Nothobranchius furzeri: one gene and its partner. The main gene of each other region encodes a partner of the protein of the gene in region 2 in a complex. Links are inferred from orthologs where the notes say so. Each region holds a gene or a part of one and is shown on either strand. Other genes may lie near its edges.

Region 1 (2,543 bases), on a different chromosome or scaffold from region 2:
AAAATTTCCCAGCATGCACTCACTCGCCAACATTTCACCCTGTGACCTGCAAGGCTCTCTTGAACACATACCGAAGCCTTTTCAAAGCACCATCAGCACCCAGGAAGCAGGACGGAGTGAGGAAAGTAAACATTGCTCACACACTTCTAAGAAAATTGACTTTTGAAGATTTTTTGGAGCTCGTGGGTCTGCTTGTATCAGATCAAAGAGCTGAAGAGATAAAACTTGTGAACAGAGAATACCTTAAAGCAGCTTAATGAAGCCTGTTTATACCTGGACAGGGGCTCTAATTCATGTTCTGTCTGTCTTTACAGCAAACAATTCCTTCATTTATTCAGTGAGTGAATTTTACTTACTATAACATCAAATTTCGAGTAAATGTCCACTACTCGACCTGGAAGACATCGACAGAAGACAAAAAAAAAAAAAAAAAAACTTGAGATCTCGGATTGCTAGAAAAACCTAAATAACAGAGATAAAGATTTCAGCCAGCTCACATACCTTTGTCATCCACAACAGGGAGCGCCGACACTCGCTGCTCCACAAAAATACCCAGCGCCGTGTACAACGGTGTGTCTGCATGAACCACTGCTATGCTTCGAAACGTCCCAATATTCAGCTCCTCTAAAGTCTGGCTTAAAAACGAAGGTTTCGGCATCTCTGATATCTGAATACAAGAGAGTAAACGCTTTATTGTGTTTTTACATATAATCATTATTTCATATTGTACAGTGTGACAAACTAGCGATCAAGAACCTACAAAAAGCTTCAGGAACTTAAGAATCCTCTTGTGGGTGAGGATGTACAGGGTGTTCCCCGTCAGAGGGTCAACTACAGGCAGTCTGTGGATCTTGTTCTTCAGCAGAGATGAAACGGCATCATACAAACTGCGACACAAAAAGGGGAGAAAGTTGATGGTGCTCAGCTTATTGCCAGAAAATGGCTTCACAAGATGCTTATGCTCGTTTATCAGAGGTGTCTCAAAGAGAAGCTCAAGTACAAACGTAGACCAGTTTTATAAAGTAGAATTAATACAGAAATTAAAAAGCATGAAATAATACAAAGTCTATAGTAGTTATGCCAATATCGCTAAATGTAGAAGATGAAAGTTCAGCTATTATTCATCATACTGTTTTTAAACCCGTATATGTTCACATTTTTAATTTGGCCATAAAATCTTAATAAATAAATAAACTGCTGATCCACTTCAGTAGTACTGCCACTTACCTTGCATTGGGAGATATGCTGACTAGAGGCTTGAATGAATCCTGCAGGTACAGTTCTAACATAACCAAGAAGAAAAGATAGCTCACCACAATGAATATCATATCAAATCTTCAGACGTGTGTGTTCAGTAGGGCTGCAATGATTAAACGTTCTGGTGATATGATTATAGTCGGAGACATAATCACGGTTTCACCAAGGTTATTTATGGGAATTGATTTCCCATCTGTATTAGCTTATCACACACACACACACACACACACACACACACACACACACACACACACACACACACACACACACACACACTTAGGGTTTCAAACTCTAGAAAATATTTATAGAAACACAAATTGATTGATACACGAAAGGAGATGTTAAATTCCTACTAGTGCATTTGTTGTTATGAATAACCCTGAATATCCTTTTAAGGCATGGCACTGCAGGAATTTTGCAGCATTTGTGCCACCATGCTTGGTAGGATTATTACAGCAACACCTGACTTATGAGTGCTTATTACGCCTTGGCGCAACAGAGGAAGGTATCATGATCACGTGGAGAGTCACTGCTTAGCTCCGGCAGGATCCTATATTAAAAAAGAAAGTAAACACAAGCGATATGTTTCACTTTTGTACACAGAACCAGCTGAGATGGGGCAGAGCAGAGCTCCAGGATTTTCTCTCCATTAGAGCTGGAGCTCAGATATCCTGACAGTTCACAGGGAATGTGAGTGACAGCCACCTTTAGGAGCAGCTTGTTAAAATACCTGATGAGCACAGCTTGGATCACAATAAAAAAACAGGTTATATCCAAGTTAAACGGAAGTCCAGTGCAGAGACCGCCCCCGTACACCCTTTATACCGATTACTAATGTAATTGTACCGCAAGTCTGGATTAACTGCCGTGTTTCACACCGTGGTTAATAATAAACAAACCAGGTAATCGTTGCAACCCTAGTGTTCTGTAGACATTCTCACCTCTCCATGTTTCAATTTTGTGTTCTTCCAACTCATATATCTGAACCTAAAGCATCACAATAAGAGAAAATAAATAATATCATTTGTTGACAAAGTCTTATATGTAACAAACAATCCCTGAAATTTATGAGCACAATTAAAAAGCACACAACATCTTACCAAAGGAGACTTGTAGTAGCGATGAAGAATGTTAATGAAGTCTGTGATGGTTAGCATACCTGAAGAGATGAAACAGAAGCAAATAAAGAAAACGGACATCTCTGATGTTCTTTTTATTTATGCAGAAAGTCAGTGAAACGACACAAGCTCTCACCAACAAAGCACTGCTTGTTACTGTCCCACAGG
Region 2 (3,828 bases):
CCCGGAAGCCATAATTGTGTTTACTTCATTTTGAACACTCCACCAAACTCATGAACTATGAAAAAAAATGAGTATGCATTATGGAAAATGATAAAAATTAATTAGAAAAAAGATCCTATAAAAATGTATGTAAAAAAACTAGTATGAAAATGTGCAAATGTAATAAAACTACTTTTTACACTGACTTTCAAGTGTTATTCTGCTCAAAAATAACACTAATACAATTTTGCATTACTAATAAATCAAAATGTAATCATGAAAAAGATTCAAAGACAGCAGTGTGCAATTTATTAGCATTTATTAGGCAGTTGCGTATACAAATGATTCAACACTTTCATTCAGATTTACACTGATCAATCCGATAGGGTCCATTCTCACTCCAAACAAAAATAGAGCTTTTTTAAAACTATATGAAGCTGTTCTATCAGACACTGAACCGAACAGCCTTTTAGGACACTTCATTTTCTAAAAGCTGGCAAAAATTTGTATTTTTTGCACACATTCACCTGTTTTCAACAAAACCCATCATATAAGGCATGGCAAGTTTTGGTCAATGCTTGCAACTGCCCTCTAAAACTAACGTGAGTGTTAAAATTTTACAACGCGTCTGCAAGACCATAAAGTTTTCGTCTTCAAATGGATTCTTTTTTTATTAACTCTGGCTTAAAACTGAGATAAAGACAAACTAAACATTTTTGCCATACCTGCCATACAGTACAAGAAAATATGATCACAATTATCGTCACTCTTAGCAATTTTTGAAGGAGAATCATTAAATATCTAAAAATGTGTAGATACATTCATCCTGGATTTCAAAGATCTGTAGAGCCGAAACTGGAAAAATCCAAACGCTGACAAGTTTTAAACAAATATCTAACTTTTAGGAATTTTTTTTGGTAGAAATGAGAACTTCTCCAAAAAAATAAGTTACTTTAATTTACAAAATTAGAAATCAATTTTACATCTACTTCAGTTTTTCTTAAATTCCAACCATCATCTTTACAGGCAGAGATGAATTACAGCTATTTTGGCAACATGATCCCATGTGTAGATTATGCAGTAAAATCCAAAACATCTCTAGAATATCGGACTTAACTTGGTGAGCTGAGGCTGAAAATATAAAATATGAACTTCAACCTTTAAAATTGCAGAGGTTACCAATAATTCAGGCCAGCAAAGGGCTCAAACCTGACATAAAAACTGATAAACAGTACGAATAATAAGGCAGCCAAATGGACACCAGTGAAAACCTTTAAGACTAGACAGGAAATGGAACAAGATCATACATATCCAAGACTCTTACCTTGCAAATTCTTTTACTTATTTTGTTCTGTGCCACACGTTTACTAGCTCGCTTTTATTCTTCATCTTTCTCACCATTTACAGTACCAGCAATGATCTGGTTCAGGTTTAAACAAACGATGTGCAACCTTTAAAGGAATGTGTGAGCGAAACATAAATGATGTTGACGGACGCCGTTGACGCACTGCATTTAATTGCTGCTCGTTTAAAATTGAGCACAGAGGCCTGAACACACGTGACTGATTGGCATTTCATCAAATGAATGTAAGCAAAAGACATCCCATCCAGTAATCATACTCCATAATCCAAAAGAAAAGAAAAAAATCATAATCAACTTGTCACTGTAATAAACTGATAATGATATATTTCTAGACGTTGACCGTCGTTGCAAAACACCTTCTAAAAAGCAGACTAGTTCTCTAGAAAGACAATCAAGTATCTGAATAATTGTGATTGAGGGAAACAAAGGTGTGACACTGAATTAAAAACAGCTAAAAATGAGTATATATTTAAACATCCAGCATTAGAGCGTAATGAAAGAAAAAACAAGTCATTGGAACCAAAACTCCATCCACTTAATGCATTGATAAATATTTTCAGGTATTTATTTATAAAAAAAAATATAAGTCGGAGCTGGACAATCGGTCACAACGAGGACAGAACCATGAACATTTAGTCTTTGACATTTAACAAAATAAAACCCAACATGGAGCATTCTTAAGTCCCTGACACGTACCAGAACCACAGAGGCCACTGCACTAATGTGATGTGATGGGAATGAAACGCTGCGGCGCTCTGGGACGTCGGCACCGCTTCTCTGATCCCTACTGAGGAAAAAAGGTAATAAAAAATAACAAAGCAGCAGAAAATTACAGAAACTTGTGCAAAAGTGCTTCCTGCATCCTATGAACATCACTCAATCCTCAAACTGTGGCTCCGCCCCCTCCCCGCAGCAGGTAAAAAATAAAAAAAGTGATCTTGTTCTCTGTACTGAAAAGCAGGCCTTGCAGGCTACAGCACAGAACGTTCAGTGTAATCACTTCTGCGTAATTTGTAAGTTGGGATGTTGATATCTGCTTTTAAACAGATTGAGAAATTTAAAGACCTCCCCCTCCCCGAAATGTTGTTTCCTGCTCTAGCTAGCTGGGTAGCGTAATCTCAACAACTCCTAGAGACCCAGTCAGCTCTGTATGTTTCCCCTCTGCACAGAGAACACCAACCTGCATGAGCGCCACGGAACAATCACCTCATCCTCAGTTGGGATGAAGTAAGCCATGAATCTGTTCCATGCTTATTGCTATAAAGACACTCAGAGAAGAAAAGGCTAGCGATGATTGTTTTTGCAAGCTATCGTGCAAGTAGTTTAATAAGATTCGCGCACATTTCAAAGAACTCGATGGTGTGGCTTCCTGGTCGAGGGGTGTTCTCCCCTCCCCCCGTCGAGTCGATGGACGAGGTCGAGGATGACCCTAAGGACCCTTCGGCGGTCTTGGTGGGCTGCACAGTGCTAGACGTGGCTGAAACGTCCGCCCCATCGACATCGTTCTTAGTGGTGGTGCGGTAGTTGCTCACAGAGCCAGAGCGGAGCGGGGTAGCAGTTCCAGACTTTGTCTCCACCATTTCATCTAAATAAAAAAGAAAAACTTTTTTTTTTTTAATGTATCCAAAAACAGCTCAATCGAGACCAAACAAAGGTAACATTTGAAAGCCCGCATGGTAAAAGCTGTGTGTACAGAAAACACATCAAACTTCCCAAAGGCCAATTTAGTGAACCCTTTCTTGCTCACTGTCTCGAGTGAAAACATAAATCTAACAAGTCGTGTTTGACTTTGATGACGTAAGTCTAGTTTTACCTCAACAACCTTTATACAGCACGCCTGTCCCACATAAAACACTCCGAACATTTCCCTTTCAGGTCCGTTCAAACAGCACAGACTTCCAAAGCCTTGAGCTGCACGTCAATCATTTATGAAATCTTTAGCAAGGCTCCAAACTACAGATCAGCACTGCGGACACGCAGGGAGCCACGCTTCAGCGTCAGCGTTAGACAGCTTGTTGTTTGTTTGTTGGGGAATTCCTAAAAAAAAAATCTGACAATTAAAAAAACAAAAGTTTTGTAATAAAAACATTTTGATTCCCCTCCAGAGCTTTATACTTAGAAGTTGGGTTTCTTCTTGTAAATACACGAGTCAGACATTTTTGCCTTTTTTTCTTGCACAAGTCAAATATTTAACAATCACAGTTAACGTTTTTTCACTTTCTGATTTTTCACACTTTTCTTGCAAATGTCTAAAACAAAAATGAGGAAATGAAGAAAATACCTCCCAAAAAATGTGACGTTCCTGTTTGAAATAAAACATTTTCACATTGGGATTACACACTTTTAACCCCCCCCCCCCCAGCTAAATGAATAATATTTATAATCTGCAGCAGCCTAGTGCATGTAGGAGTCATATGTCTGGACAGCAGTCCCTCTCTAAAGGACACCGGGTCTTGGTGGGTTAATGAGTGAAGAAAAGCATCTCT

What was found.
Region 1: the proteins of prkaa1 (region 2) and 5'-AMP-activated protein kinase subunit gamma-1 are in contact, whole or in part, in a crystal structure (PDB 6C9H), measured with the Homo sapiens proteins. The link is inferred for Nothobranchius furzeri from reciprocal best matches to the Homo sapiens genes PRKAA1 and PRKAG1. Residues at the interface, in NP_006242.5 of Homo sapiens: Ser295, Ser296, Thr297, Met298, Ile299, Asp301, Glu302, Lys305, Arg342, Glu347, Ala348, Phe351, Tyr352, Leu353, Arg369, His371, Pro372, Glu373, Pro376, Phe377, Asn449, Val451, Thr452, Thr536, Pro537, Arg538, Gly540, Ser541, His542, Thr543; in NP_002724.1 of Homo sapiens: His36, Asp40, Leu41, Ile42, Pro43, Thr44, Ser45, Val50, Leu64, Val65, Gly68, Val69, Arg70, Trp75, Ser77, Lys78, Lys79, Gln80, Phe82, Pro158, Glu159, Ser160, Gly161, Asn162, Lys170, Arg171, Lys174, Phe175, Leu178, Phe179.

Annotation. Positions count from the first base shown.
Region 1 is NC_091743.1:48,658,977-48,661,519, reverse strand, and holds part of 5'-AMP-activated protein kinase subunit gamma-1, read right to left. Parts: coding exon 2,512-2,543; intron 2,417-2,511; coding exon 2,358-2,416; intron 2,245-2,357; coding exon 2,199-2,244; intron 1,283-2,198; coding exon 1,228-1,282; intron 888-1,227; coding exon 761-887; intron 668-760; coding exon 502-667; intron 395-501; coding exon 357-394; intron 1-356. UniProt on the Homo sapiens protein: AMP/ATP-binding subunit of AMP-activated protein kinase (AMPK), an energy sensor protein kinase that plays a key role in regulating cellular energy metabolism.
Region 2 is NC_091746.1:66,862,961-66,866,788, forward strand, and holds the end of prkaa1 (5'-AMP-activated protein kinase catalytic subunit alpha-1), read right to left. Parts: intron 2,928-3,828; coding exon 2,650-2,927; 3' UTR 282-2,649; downstream 1-281. UniProt on the Homo sapiens protein: Catalytic subunit of AMP-activated protein kinase (AMPK), an energy sensor protein kinase that plays a key role in regulating cellular energy metabolism.